2 linked regions of the Oreochromis niloticus genome follow. The protein of the gene in region 1 binds, or shares a complex with, the protein of each later gene. Links are inferred from orthologs where the notes say so. Each region holds a gene or a part of one and is shown on either strand. Other genes may lie near its edges.

Evidence for each region.
Region 2: the proteins of tnpo3 (region 1) and cirbpa are in contact, whole or in part, in a crystal structure (PDB 8CMK), measured with the Homo sapiens proteins. The link is inferred for Oreochromis niloticus from reciprocal best matches to the Homo sapiens genes TNPO3 and CIRBP. Residues at the interface, in NP_036602.1 of Homo sapiens: Arg620, Glu660, Arg661, Cys663, Arg664, Arg667, Phe668, Arg671, Ser698, Cys699, Tyr702, Ser705, Ile706, Asp709, Glu710, Asp747, Asp750, Asp751, Arg754, Arg758; in NP_001271.1 of Homo sapiens: Tyr160, Arg161, Ser163, Tyr164, Asp165, Ser166, Tyr167, Ala168.

What each region holds. Positions count from the first base shown.
Region 1 is NC_031981.2:23,252,383-23,260,291, reverse strand, and holds the start of tnpo3 (transportin-3), read left to right. Parts: upstream 1-4,889; 5' UTR 4,890-5,046; coding exon 5,047-5,166; intron 5,167-6,431; coding exon 6,432-6,632; intron 6,633-7,041; coding exon 7,042-7,115; intron 7,116-7,202; coding exon 7,203-7,359; intron 7,360-7,637; coding exon 7,638-7,781; intron 7,782-7,883; coding exon 7,884-7,909. Other genes in the region: opn1sw1 (opsin-1, short-wave-sensitive 1), read right to left, coding at 50-215, 286-454, 531-870. UniProt on the Homo sapiens protein: Importin, which transports target proteins into the nucleus. Specifically mediates the nuclear import of splicing factor serine/arginine (SR) proteins, such as RBM4, SFRS1 and SFRS2, by recognizing phosphorylated SR domains.
Region 2 is NC_031982.2:13,239,543-13,246,739, forward strand, and holds the start of cirbpa (cold inducible RNA binding protein a), read left to right. Parts: upstream 1-4,191; 5' UTR 4,192-4,349; intron 4,350-5,066; 5' UTR 5,067-5,077; coding exon 5,078-5,177; intron 5,178-5,282; coding exon 5,283-5,389; intron 5,390-5,499; coding exon 5,500-5,632; intron 5,633-5,717; coding exon 5,718-5,850; intron 5,851-5,930; coding exon 5,931-5,995; intron 5,996-6,502; coding exon 6,503-6,516; 3' UTR 6,517-7,105; coding exon of another isoform or gene 7,106-7,110; 3' UTR 7,111-7,121; coding exon of another isoform or gene 7,122-7,129; 3' UTR 7,130-7,197. Other genes in the region: midnolin, read left to right, coding at 46-151, 334-567, 1,344-1,525. UniProt on the Homo sapiens protein: Cold-inducible mRNA binding protein that plays a protective role in the genotoxic stress response by stabilizing transcripts of genes involved in cell survival. Acts as a translational activator.

The DNA of each region.
Region 1 (7,909 bases):
TTGATTGATTGATTGATTGATTGATTGATTGATTGATTGATTGACTCACTGCTCTCAGAGCACCCAGCAGCTGGGAGTAGCAGAAAATGATGATGGTAAGAGGAAAGATGAAGCAGGTGATCAACAGGAAGTAAATGTAGCTGGTCGTGTTGTACTCCTCGTTGTGAGTGTACCAGTCGGGTCCACAGGAGCAGCCCAGACCTTCAGGGATGTACCTACCAACACAGACAATCAGTTCACCTGTACAGCACACACATGGGCAGAATCACCTGGTGCCTACAGTACCTGCTCCAGCCAAAGAAAGGTGGGCAGGCACAGCCAACCCCCATGAACCAAGTGAAGGCCACTGCAGCCAGAGCGTGATTTGAGCCAAACTTAAAGGCTCCGAATGGTTTACAGATGACCAGGTACCTCTCAAAGGAAAGCACCGCCAAAGACCAGGCGGTCACCAGACCTGAGGAGGAGGGAGAAACACACCATTACACCTGCACACATCTGTACGTATCCTGCCAATGGATCGGGTGGTTTACCTGCAATTGCGCCCACGGCAGCCTCCAGAGCACACAGCGTGTGACCCAGGAAGTAGTAACCTCGCATGGAGGCTAAGAACACCTGGCTGACGGAGAAGGTGACAAAGATGAAGCCAGAGAAGGAGATGTTGACAAGAATGAAGTTGAGGGGAACTCTGAGCTTCTTGTACTTCATCGTCGCCACGAGAACAACGAAGTTTAAAGGTGTGCCAGCAAACAGGACAAATCCCATAAAGGCAGCCTGCAGGTAAAAGGCCCAGGTAGGGGCCAGGTAATACTGGGGCCCCTCGAAGGGACTGACTTTGGAGATGTTCTCGTACAGGTGGAAGTATTTCCCCATTGTGACCCTGAGCTCTCTGCTGCTGCCGCTGTGTCAGCCTCTTATATACGCTCATAAACCACTTACAGCAAAGATTATGCTGCTGGGATTTTTCTAAACTTTCAGGATTAAGAACTTCTGACTCCTTAATCTGCTTACAGAAGGTTTTCTCTTTGAACACACGGATCCACCCGAGTTCACTTCAGAAAACTCAAAACATACTTCCTGCTTTAAAAGTGATCGTGGTTGCATGCACGTCTTCATTTCTTTCACCTATACATTGTTTTTATAAAACTCTGACTGGTTTTATTTATTTATTTATTTATTGTTTTAGTAAATGGCTCTGGAATTAGCCCTTTAACTCGGAGGAACTGAACCTGGAACCCTGTGGTCAGTTGATGTTACCAAACAGACTTAATTTAATGATTGATTTCACTAACTAAATTATTAGTGATCTAAACATAAAACAGCAATCATATTAACAGCTAATAACATGAAATTCAAACTTTAGTTATGCTAAATGATTTATTTGTACTATTTAAGTTTGGTTACACATAATAACTAGAAACATCAGCATCCATCCAACCAGCTGAGGGTTGTGGGCGGGTCGGTGGGTGACAGGCGGGGTACACTTCATATCAGATCAGATCAGATCAGATCATATCATATCATATCATATCATATCATATCATATCAGATCAGATCATATCATATCATATCATATCATATCATATCATATCATGTCATACCAAATTTATTTGTATAGAACATTTAAAGACCAAAGTGCACCAAAGTGCTTTCCAGTAAAACCATGATACAGATAAAATCACAATATAAAATATAAATTACAGATATAAAATAATTACATAATATAAATGCAGATCCAGATAAAAACCACACTAATTAGCCTTAAAAACCAGGTTAAACAAGTACGTTTTTAGATTTAAAAGATTGAATAGAATCTGATGCGCGAATGTCAGGATTTTATACGTAAACAATAAGATTTTTAAATTGATTTGATATTTGATAGGAAGCCAGTGTAAGTTGGCTAGAACAGGGGTGATGGAATCATACCTTCTAGTGCCGGTTAAAAGACGTGCTGCGGCATTTTGGACCAACTGCAATCATTGAAGGAGGGAAGATTGGAGGCCCAAGTAAAGAGAGTTACAATAATCTAGTCTTGAAGTGATGAATGCATGAATAAGTTTCTCTAGATCTCTGCGTGGTATAAAGGGTATAGCCTTAGAAATTTGGCGTAGTTGATGGAAGCTACTTTTTACCACAGTAGACACCTGGACAGGTCACCAGTGTCAGAGAGATGTGTGGACGTAGGAGGAAGCCATAGAGAACCCAGGGAGGAACAGGGAGAACATGCAGACAGAACCAGGCCAGCTGGTGGATTCAAACAAGGATCTTCTTTTAGTGAGGCAACAGAGCTGACTGCTGCTCTGCTGCCAACTCTAAAAATCCTTCTTACACATGCAGAGGTAAGTCCCTGCTGTATAATATTGTTCATGATATGTTTACAAAGTTTTTAGTGTAATAAACACAAGCTGCTGTCAGGCCCGCAGCAGGGCGATGAAGACTCCTGATGATGAAGAGCAGCAGCAGGTGGCTGACGGATCTAAATCCAATAAGAGTCTTTTGTTTTTCCGTGTGTCCGACTTCCTATGTAATCCGGATATTTCAGATTTACCTGACCAGGTGATCCTCCTCAATCCTCCAAATCCTCAAAACATCGTCACACAGTCAGATTAGAAGACTCACGGCCACTGAAACGGTTAAAGGGGTTCAGCGTGAGGAAGACTGTGAGGAAGAGGAGGAACGCCGAGCCTTTAAGAAGGAGCTGTCCTCCAATCTTGATCACTTCTCCTGCTCAGAGTCCAGAGAGCGTCACAGACAAGAAGAAACTGCTCCATCTCCACTTCTGTTGCCCATTTTCATCCTGGACCGGACGGATGAGGAGAAATGTTTATTGATCGATCGATTGATCAATGATTGCTGACCTTTAGAGCGGGGGCTGTATCATAACCAGGCTGTGAGCTGCATGGAGCATGGGTATGATACGACCTCAGTTTGGAGGTGACATGCAGCCTTAACAGACTGATTAATCATTGATGTATTGACTATTGATTACTTGCTACTATGGATTATTGATTAAGCTCCTGGTGGTTCAGGTATGAAGACCGGAGATTATGTCTACTGCTTTCACTGTTTAATGTTAGGTTTTTGTTTGTTGTGAGTTTGTGCTGTAACACTAAAGGTCACAGTGGCCTCAGGTGTTCATGTATACTGTATTATTTATTTTCATCCTTAATGACTGTTAAATAAAAAAGAACCTGCTGATCAATGAAGTCATTTGATTGTGTGAATCATTACTTTACTTCAAACATTTAAATGAAACTCAGAAGCTGTTTTGGTTTAATTATTATTTTTAATAAAATTCCTTTTTGGAGCATTGAGGCACACTATTATTCATCAGATTTATTATCCTGTTATTACAATTATAACTTCAGAAATGTTTTTAACTTCCAAACTTCTGATTATTGAAACTGAATCAAACTCCAAGCAGCTCAGTTTTTTTTCTGTGAATAAAAATGCCCCACTAAAATGACTTATTGATTAATCAATGCCCTAAATTCTGTTCACAGATGACTTAAAGCCGTGTTTCTTTGGGTTTTAGTGCAGTTAAATTTGACTTTAAAATTATTTTATGAAGATCTCAGAGCTCAGAGCACGTCATCAGGTCCCTGAGCATCTCTTTATCCAGGATCTCTTTTCCATATAGGGCTTCATTTATACTAACATCATTAGTCAGGGTCAGAGGTCACAGGAAGTGGGAGATGAATGTGAGAAATGAACCCAAGGATTGTCAGTCTACCTGAGAGTAGTGGCCACAGCCTGCATCAGGTTTGGTTTAGTTACAAAAAAAAATAAATCTGGAAGCATCAGAAACATGTCAGTCATAAGAACTTTAGCTCACATCATCAGCTGTTGTTGATCTGTCTGTAACCTGCAAGCCTGAACAGCTTCATTAATATCAGATATGAAGCTGAGCAGATGTTGCCACTGGTCGAACTCTTTAACATTGATGTCAGTGATGAAACTAAGCCTGTACCTGCTACTTGTTCATGTTCCCCTAATAAACGAAATGATCAAAAGTGTATTTGTATTCACTCAGATTAACTTTGATATTTAAGTTTGTTTGATCTGAAACAGTGTGACTGCACGCGCACACACACACACACTCGGGGTTAAATGTGATGATTTTAACTGTGTGTAGGTTCTCCGTTATCCAGGTTCAGCATGTTAATTCAGTAATTACAAAAATTTCAAGTGTAAATGTTTGTGATGTTTGTTTATTTTTATTTGTACTCCTTCGTGTAGGATCCCCTCCGTAAATCGCCTTGCTGTAGTGGAGGACTTTTGTGTCCCAAGTATCCATGGAGCTCTGTTGGCTTAGGGGGGCCCGGTGGTAGGGCTGCTCAATCTGCTCAACATTTGGCAATAAACCCTATTCTGATTCTGATTCTTCTGAAGTGTGGTTGGCCTCTCTGTCACAGACAAGGTGAGGAGTTTAGTCTTTTGAGAGGGGCTCAGAGTAGAGCTGCTACTCCTCCACATTAAAAGGAGCCGGTTGAGGTAGTTTGGGCACCTGACTAGGATGCCTCCTGGGTTGTTTTTAGGGATGCTCTCACTTCAGAGATAAAATTTCTCAGCTGAAATGGGATCATCTCAGTGTTCCCCCTGGATAAGCTGTTGAAGGTGACTGGGGTCAAGGAGGTTTGGTCTTTTTGGCTCAGGCTACTGCCCTCACCACCCAAACCCAGGTGTGAGGCAGAAGATGGATGATTATGATAAGTTGTCATTAAATTTAAATTATTTTTTTTATTGTACTGCATTGTAATTTATTGTATCGTATTATTATTGTGCCCCTTGTTTTGTTTTATTTTAATATACTGCATTTTATTTCATCGTTTTATTTTTTAATTACCCTCTCACAGAAGTCTTCTTCCGGGAGGACAAAGCGGAACTTCTTTTGGTGCCCGTGTTTCCGGTGGGACCGGGATTGCAGTTGCAGCGGAAAGCCTGTGAGATGGCGGTCGGCTCTCGGAGCGTTTAGGACCCTGAACCCGGATCCGAGCACCCGGACCCCGAGCTGTCTGCCTCACCGCGTCCCTGTGTCTGACCCGAGCTATGGAGGGCGGCAAACCGAGCCTGGCGCTGGTGTACCAGGCGGTCCAGGCCCTGTACCACGACCCGGACCCGGCCGGGAAGGAGCGCGCCTCGCTGTGGCTGGGAGAGCTGCAGAGATCGGTGAGAGGGCGGGGGGGAGAGGCCCGGGCGGGCGGAGGTCGCTTCGTGTTTTCGGGGATCCGTGTGAAGCGGATTTCAGGGGTTTACCTGTGTGAAAACGCACAGGTGAAATGTAGTGCGCAGTCTCAGAGGAGCCACCGCTTCCGTTAGCATAACAGCTAAGCTAAAGAAAATGAATGGAGGAAAACATGCCGAGCTAGCTGCTATGCTAACTGCTAGCTGTCTGTATGTTACTTTGCCTGCCTGCGCACGTGTGTGTGTCTGTTTGTTTCTTTCTGTGTGTGTGTTTGTGTGAGAGAGTGTGTGTGAATGAGTGAGTGAGTCACCTTGCTGCAGGTGAATAAATGAAGCGCTCCCCGCCTGTGTTTGGACTTCCTGTTTGCGGTTCCGGCTTGTTTGTTTTTATTCAGCTGTTAGCATGTTAGCATGGTCACAGTCAGGTGACCTGGGGTAAAAGGGCAGCCACAGTGCGTGAGGGCTGAAGTTATGCAGGTGAAAGTTTCCCCCTGTAGCAGTCAGCTGATCAGTGAGCATGCTCAGTCGGGTGTTTGTGGAGCCCCAGCTCACAGCCTTCAGTCACCTGAGAACTAATTCGAGCCTCTCAGGTGGACCTGAGGAGAACACCTGAAGAGCTTCAGGTTCAGTCAGAAGGTGGTTGATCTCTTGGGGACAACAGATCAAACGGTTCATTGCAGTGTCACTTAGCTGGAAACATGAGGATGTTTTTCTGGTCAGATGTTCTCCTGAGTGGCTGATGGGCATTAATGATAAGGAGCAGAATCAGCAGACAGCCAACGATTCAATCTTATGAAAATATTTCACTGAAGATTTGATTTTTAACATTTTACAATGTGCCAGTATTACAGTAATGTTCACAATCACCACCTTTAAACTGTAGATTATGTTGTCAAAGTTAAACTTTGTTAGTACCTGTTTTATACAACAATGTAACATCATCTCTTCATTTGCTTTCTTACCAAGCTCACCAAAATTTCACTAAGACCTGCATAAATGTTGCCATAATATGAGTCAGTCTGCAACTGAATGGAGTCAAGTTGGCAATTATGTGCAATCTGTTTGAGATAATACAGCAGTTACCTGATAAAGTTGCCTCCTTCAATTTAGTCTGAAGTCCCCCTCTTCATATTTTAATTAGTTTATTTATTTTTGTTTGGTGTCCCTGTATAGATAAAATATCATAATGTAATGCCGTGTCGATTTTTTTTCTTCTCCCATCCCTCGCTATGACATCACTTCCTCCTCAGATGTATGCTTGGGAGGTGTCAGACCAGCTGCTGCAGCTCAAGCAGGACGTGGAGTCGTGTTACTTCGCCGCACAGACAATGAAGATGAAGATCCAGACGAGCTTCTACGAGCTCCCGCCAGAGACCCACAATGCACTGCGAGACTCGCTGCTGACGCACATCCAAAACCTCAAGGACCTGTCGCCCATCATTGTAACCCAGGTAACTACACCTGTTCCGCCGGTATCAGCATCTGATCGGAGTCAATAGGACTTCATTGACTCTTGACTGATCCTCACCTTTTGTTGTTGGCTTGAGTCAGCTGTAAAGTTGTCTCAGTGGGGTTTCCCTGGAAACAGCTGATTATCGCTTTAGTTAAGAGGAATGAGTGCTGTCACAGAATCACCCTGAGAAATATTTCTTACTTGTGATGTTTAATGTTGGCTTGAGCTGGTTAACATCTGCTTTAATACATCTGTATGGTTGTTACCACACCTTGTCGGAGGGTGGGGGTTTAACTTTAAAAAGTAAGCTGAACTTGCAGTGACATCATCAGGGTTTTAAAAACAGAAAGTTTGTCTGTGAGAGTTTTTACTTGTGTAACTCAGACCTTCATCACCCTTTCCCTCAGCTGGCTTTGGCGATCGCTGACCTTGCCCTGCAGATGGCGTCCTGGAAAGGATGTGTTCATACACTGATAGAAAAGTAAGAATTCACAAAATCGGCTCACATAATGTTTTCTCTGAAGCTGGTCAGTGACTCACCTGTTCCTCTGTCTCCACCCCTTCTCAGGTACAACAATGACATCAGCTCAATGCCCTTCCTCATAGAGATCCTCACCGTGCTCCCAGAGGAAGTTCACAGCCGCTCACTTAGAATCGGAGCGAATCGGAGGACAGAGATCATCGAGGACCTGGCGTACTACTCAAGCACCGTGGTTACCTTGCTGGTGAGACACCTGTCTGACTCTCACCTGTCAGACAGCTCAGTAATGCTTCAGTCTGAACAGCACTGAATGTTGATCGTATCTGTTCACCGGGCCAGTGGCTGTTTAACTGTCACATGATAGCCACATTAGCTGCATGTTGTCATTAAGGTAGGGGTGTGGCTAGTAATACAACCATAATGATAATGTGGCGGAAACTGTTATCACTCAAAAATTGGGGATGTCACTGATGATGTCACTAATCTTTATTTAAACAGGACTCTGACTTTATTTGTCCTCAGACAACCTGCGTGGAGAAAACTGGGAACGACGAGAAGATGCTTATTAAGGTGTTTCGCTGTCTGGGCAGCTGGTTCAACCTGGGCGTCCTCGACAGCAACTTCATGGCGAGCAACCAGCTGCTCATGGTGCTTTTCCAGGTCCTGGTAAGTGTGAGAGTGCGATCAAGGTCAATGATCTGATGATCACGTGAGCCTCTATCTGGAATCGTGTGAATATTTCTATGTTACCCCAAACTGTCTCCACAGCAGAGGGACGAAACCTCTACCAACCT
Region 2 (7,197 bases), on another chromosome or scaffold:
TATTACTCAGACTTATTCCTTAAGGTGGATATTTGTCCCTTACAGAGTAATGCTAATGCTTCATCCACTGCACAGCTGCCCAATCCTCCAGGAGCTGTCATAGAGAGTTTCGTGAGACACTCACCTGGCATCTTCTCTGGGACTTTCTCTGGTACGTCTGCTCTGGAGACTGCTCAGCAGTTTTTGTTTGGTCTGATTAACATAAACCAGTGATGTTTCCTAGTGTTGCAACAATACGGGTACTCTTTCTAATCTAATGAACTTTCTCTTTTGAATAGCTTTTTTTAGGATAAGGAGAGAAAAAAGTAATAATAACTCCTTTATTCCTCTCAGGCACCCTGGCCCCTTGCAGTCAGAGCGGTTTCAGTCATCCTCGACGTGGTGTCGCCATTATTCTCCAGATCCTCAACGACCTCCTCAAAGCCGCCTACCACCACCAGGGGGCTCCAGTTCCTCTTCCTCTACACCGCTGTCCTGCTCCAGGCGCTGAAGTCAGCCCGCTGCTCACAGCAGAAGAGCCCAGACCACCAGCGATGCAGAGGACAGAGGCCCTCTGCGGAGCTCCAGGTCAGTTCAAGCGAATATTATTTTGGAAACTTGGAGAGCATGTCATCATAACGCGCATGTAAATGCATGCAAATCCTGGGATAGTGTGCATTTTAGAAATCAGGACAGGGAAATGAAAACAAAAACAATAAAAAAGAGACTGTTTGAGGCCCCCAGAGAATAAAACACGCTCGTGTTTCCTCCCAGCTGAAATAAAACGAGTTTCTCTGCTGTGTCATATTTAGTCACGCAGCACTTGTGCAGCAGTTACGCAGGCCTTCGTCAGTATAAAGACTATTACAGTCTTTACAGGCAGTGTTAATGACAGCTCATCCACGAGTGTTTACGCTTCCTTATTAGGCTCCGACTGTCTCGTGCTGACGGGGTTTCCTGTGGATTTGTATGTTTGGATTAGAGCTGAAAATATGAGGAAATCAAGCAGAACAATTGCTTCACAGCTTGTCTGTCAATCGCTTCTATGTAGTTAACTTTGAGGGTTTTGACAGGTGGAAGAACAAGACGAAGCATTTGACAGCTGCAGCTTTAGAAAATTCGACTGGTCGTATTTTTACTGCGTCAGAGAAACAGATTCTGGGTCGGAGCTTCGGGAGGTCGTCTTGACCATGTCTGTATGTTATTGGCTGATTGGATATTTGCATTAATGAGCAGACATACAAATTAAGCCTGACAAAGTGGCTTTTGAGTGTATTTCTTATGCAGTAATTAATGGCAGAGCACACCATAAACACCCATGGAGACCTTAGTTTTCTGTGCCTGATCGATTTCTTTCTCTGTAGGTGACGTAGGCCACGAGGGTCCCGTCATACACTCGTCCACAGAGGAGAATCAAACACTGCACTGTAAGCTAGAGCACCTCCAGCTCCTGATGCACGAGAGGCGTCTACGCAGGAGGGCTCGCAAGACCTCGCACATCTCACAAGGCTCTCATCCGTACCAGAAGCGCCACCATCACCCCTAGTCTCTGAATGTAAAAAGACCCGCTCACTATGATAGATACCAGAGCTGACCTTGCCGTACAGGGCTATAAAAAAATGAGCCTTTGTTAGTATTTTTCTACTATCTGAAACTATACGTCTAAATGTTGTGGCTTTCTCTGTGTGATGTGTAATCTGAGTCTGTCCTTCAGTGACGGCAGCTGCGGCTGTTGCAGTATGTAGCACGTGTCACATAGATTTCCCTGTTGGTGTTTTACTCTATGTACTCTGATGCCTTAATTGTACATGTTTTGAATGTAAGACTGTGTTTCGTTCCATGCAAGCAATGTTTCTTGAAAATATCTTATTTATGAAATACAAAGAAGCAAAAAAATATGCAAATAATAAAGGGAAACAATAAAAAATCTGAAAGCGTTTATGAATGGAGCCTTTTCTTTTTACATGAAGAATATAATGTTGTCTTCGTCGTTTTGTAGATGAAAATGTCTCAGCCTTATTTTACTAAACATCCTTTCTGTTTGTTTGTCACAGCTAATCTTTTATCTATGATCAGGAGATATATATGTGGTGAAGATGAATGATCTATTTCAATATTAAATGCTTAGATCCTTTCAAATACTATGTGCTCAATCATCCATAAGGCTAGGAACACCTGCAGTCAGCACATTGAATGGATGAGTGGTGAAATGTTTCTCCCACTGAAAAAACAGAGTCTGGATCAACAGAAGCAGCTTTCTAGGTTACTCTGTAACCTCTGTGCTTTGTCGCTTTTCATTATTAAGAGCCATATGAGTTTCAGAGAGGTGTTGCCATCTCTCTTAGTGGAGCAGAGGTTTCAAGAAAATCTAAGTGGTGCAGTAAAGCTGAGCGTTACGATCTAAGATATAATGAAATGTTGGTTCTCCTCGACAGTAAAAGCACAGGAAGTAGAAGCACTGATGTGCAGCCAACCAGCATTCTTTACACTTCTTCCATGATAACAGCTGAACACTTCAGATTGTTTCGGTGGGCCTTTAAAGACAAGCAAAGGGTCTAAAACGTGATGCTTGAGATACCAGAATTTGCATGCCTACCCTTAAGTTTCATCATGGAATCCTGGCACATCTTGTCGAACCTCTGGAACATTATTAATGCTGATCAGTTTGGCCTTGTACCTGACACCATCCCTTGCTTGAGATACCAGAATTTGCATGGATAACTATGTGTATTATTAATGCTATGACTCTTTAGAGGCACTCCAATGAGTACTCTGTGAAAAATGCCATAAACTAAAGCATTCGCCTCCCTGTAGCCAGCGTCTGAAGCTGAGCTCACAGGATGCAAATCACAGCGGCACAACATGAAACTGTTCGGGATGAGCTGAAACATCTGTGCCTGCTTTCGCTGCTGACGTGCAGACAAACACGAAGCCTTGCTCAGGTGTAGCCTGTGTGATCTGCAAGCTGAGAGCAGAAACAGGCGAGTGGAAGCTCTCTCGTTCGGCTATCAAACGACGATCAGCACACAACTGGGTACTGCAGCACGAATGCTGGCGTTGTTTTCGGTGCAGCTCTGTTGATTGTGATCACTGAGTGTGCAGCTGCAGCAGCACGCCCAGCGCCACAGATCAGACAGCACAACGGCTGCTCGTCCTGAATCCTAAAGACCGCCTGTGCTGCAGATTCGGCGCTGCAGGCACAGTCGGCCATGATAGTGTAGCCTACACACTGCTGCCTGCCCGGATGAATTCGTTTTGGCGGTATCAATCCGATCATTTACAAGAAAGAGGATGAAACCCTTTCCCTGCACGCTGATCTATTCCTTTAAGCGCTGCAAGAACGCTGCAGATGACAGCTATGGGTTTTTGAGCCTCCTACACAGTCGTTCTTTTCTCTCTCTTTGCCTCCCCCACACACTCCATTAAAACACACTGCATCGCTTAGACGTCCATGTGCAGATAAATCTTCCTCCCACACAGACAAACAGGACTTCGGCCCCACACACCTTACCGCCATCGTGACTCACGCAAACAAAGCACTCGAGGCTTGCAAAATAAACACAGTTGAATCATTTTCTCCGTTAACAACATATGAAAGCGACTTGCAGTTATGACTGGCATTCATCTGACTACACTCATTGTTTGTGTAATTGTGCTAGCACGCTGTTATTTTATTGTACTTGAAAACAAAGCATCTCTGGATTAATTATTAATCTGGTTTCTGTTTAAGACACAAATATACGCATACTTTCAGTTTAATGTCTTTGAAGGCCACTTCAAAGACATTAAACTGTCTTTGAAGTTTAAATTTATATTTTTGGTTGCAAAGTCAAATCAGATACAAATTATTATTCAAATCAGAGTACGTTATTCTGTGCTGCTGGGGAAACTACTTGGAGATGAAAAGGCCCAGAAGTGACTGATGGGTTCACGGTGAGGGTTGAGATTGCATCAGGGATCGGCTCTGAGGACCTCGTTTTTTGCGGGGTAATATTGAGATACCAGGCAGGAGGACAGAGGAGCTTCGTGAAAGAGGAAATGCAGATAGGTTGTGTAATGGTGGAGAATGCTAAAGATAAGGTGAGGGGGAGGCAAATAATCCGTTGTGGCGACCCCTAAAGGCATCAGCCGAAAACGAAGAGGAATTAAAGACATCTAAATGCGGCCCAACCTAACAGCACTATGCTGCGTCACCCTAAACAAAAGATGGCGCTGTTTGCGGCTGTTCTAACGGTCTGCCGCCCAAACAGCAGTAGAAGAAGGAGTGAGTGCGCATTGCAGTGAAAAGCGGATCGCGCTCGTTCTTCCCCCTCATTCGACCTCCATCGCAGCTCCCAGCAACTTCCCTTAAATCTCCGTGAGAGACAAAGGTAAATGCTTTTCTTTGTTAGGTGTTGTGTCTACACGGTGTAGGTTGTGAAATATAATCTTATTCATGTGCATCTGTATTTGTAAAGTATGAAAAGCATTTTTTTATCCAAGTTGACCTTTTCTATTAATTGAAAAAAATTAACATACGTTTTGTCGCTTTTTTTTTATTTGATCGTATTAGAATCGGGTTTTTTTCGATGTTAAAATGGTAAATCGTTTCAATTTGCAGAAATATGTTAATATATTGTGTTTTCTGTATTAATTGGGGCAGTTATATAAGCTGAAAAATAAGGCAGTTGGCCGCCCCTCGAGCTGGCGCAAAGTAGGTCATTGAAACAAAAGCGTGTAGCGTGGTGCTACAAAATGGCGCTGGAAGAAAAACCGCCAGCTAATCCGCTAACGAAACTGCGTCACGTTTTCAGGCCCAAGGCCTAGTGTGACTCATTTTTGAGTTTTAGCAACGATTATCGGTCAAATATGATGTAGTTTTATGATAAATTCGGATTTAATGCTCTGTTAAACGTCGGGAGGTATGTAGGTCATAACTGCGCAAGCAATGATCGCCATTTTATGAAACTGCTCCGGTGACCTACTTTCTCTTTGCGGCTGTTTAGCGATCGTGTGTGTCGAGGATTTTCGACGATCAAGAGCCCCGTCTTAGTTTTAAGGATTTGTGAGAGACTTTTTTTTCATTGCCTTTATTTATTTTTTTGTAGCTATAGCAAAAATGTCGGACGAGGGAAAATTATTCATCGGAGGTCTGAGCTTCGAGACCAACGAGGACTCCCTGGCTGCGGCCTTCGGCAAATACGGAACCATCGAGAAGGGTAATTAAAACTCTTTATTCCTCTTGAGTGTATATAGATTAAAATGACTTTATACATAAATATTTTACTAAATATGTGGCCTAATCGGAATTTCTCTCTGATTAGTGGACGTGATCAGAGACAAAGAAACCGGAAGATCTCGTGGGTTTGGCTTCGTAAAATACGACAATGCAGAGGACGCTAAAGACGCGCTGGACGCCATGAATGGAAAGGTAGAAATCATGCTGCTTCATTTATAATCGAATTTAAATAAAAAAAAAAAAAAATTAAATAATTAATTTGATTTTATTTATACATTCTTACATTTCCTGTTGTATTGCAGACGCTGGATGGACGTGCTATTCGGGTGGATGAAGCTGGAAAGGGAGGGCGCTCCAGAGGCGGTTTTGGCTCCGGCCCACGAGGAGGCAGATTTAGCGGCTCCAGAGGGAGAGGTGGGCGTGGTTATTCCCGAGGTGCGACGTGGGAATATTTTTAAAAAGTTGAAATTAAAGGTTTATTCTAACAATATCGAAATTAAAACTGATTTGACTTTAATAGGTGGATATGGTGGAGACAGAGGGTATGGAGACAGGAGTTATGGTGACAGAAGCTTTGGTGGTGGAGACAGGAGCTTTGGTGGCAGTGGATACAGGAGTGGAGGATATTCCTCAGGCGGCTACAGGGAAAACAGGTAAATAATCAGAGCTTAAGTTTGTTTGAATGCAATTTGTTTCGAATGCGTTCTAAATGCAAGTTTCTTGTTTGTATTAGGGGGCAGGGTGGATATGGTGAGCGTTCAGGATCTGGATCCTACCGCGATGGATACGACAGCTATGGTAAGCATCAATAATATGTATTTCAGGTATTTGGGTGCATTTATGTTGGGGCTGTCTGTACAAAATCTAAAGGAACATTGAAAGCACATCTCAGTAACTTGGCATAGACAAACTCTGCGCAGCACCCCTCTAGTTTTTGAATACCTGCTTTAAGTGGCAGGTTGAGATGCTGTACACATCAACACTGTAAATTGAGATTTCACAGCCCCAACATGTGAAGCCTATCACCATGTATGCCCCTCAGTTTTGTGCCCAACTTGATGCCTCTTTCCAAACGGTTGCCAGATTTCTTTTGTGCCCCTCTCTGACAAAGAGGCTGGAAACCATTAGAACCACTTAAAGCAAACCCCGAATGTCACGTGTTCTCAAATTGCGAGGAAGGCAAGGACCCCGTTATGCAAAAAGAGGGAGGGTTGTTAGACAGGCGGGTTGAAAGGGGAATATTTGTAAAACTCCAGTGTTCGAACTTGCAGTGTCTTTACCTCTGTGCCCACTTCTTATCCTCAGCTACACATGAGTAAACATCTCCCTGATTCAAGATCTTCACTTGGCTGGCTGTTTTTCAAAGATGCGCTCCTCAAGAAAAATGTCCACGTGTTTGCTGACCTTAGTTCTGTAGTTTTGTTGTAATAGTTCAGCATCTTTAAAAAGAAGAAAAATGTAGCAATGGGTTCTGGTCATTCCTGTTACAAATTACAGTTCAAGAATCTTAACCATGCTTAATTGGACTCATTTCTCAAAGATCGTGCAACAAAAGGCATCTGTAATCTGATACTGTAAAGTCCCATTTTTGGGGATCAAAACAGTTCTCAACATGGCTTTTCATTGAACAGCCACTACCATTGCTCTAAACTTTGTCCAGCACTTGAAGTGCTTCCTGATTTGATTCCTTTTCTTATATATTGCAATATCTGGGGCTTGTTTGTGTTCCTTATTTTCCCCCTCAGTCTCTGACTGACCTACCTCCTGCCAGGTTTTAAACTGAGAGGAAAGATATATGCTCATAAACAGACTTTTGGGAGACTTGATGCTAAATTCAAATTAATATTAAAAAAGAAGAAAAAAAACCTTAGTTTAACTGAGGCTCCTGTTTGTTCAATTTCCCAAAAGAGTGAATTCCTTTCAGACTGGTGAACTACACATCCGAAGTGGCCGGCTGTTCATGAAGTTGCAAATTGCAGCATGCTACAGTCTGTCCAAGG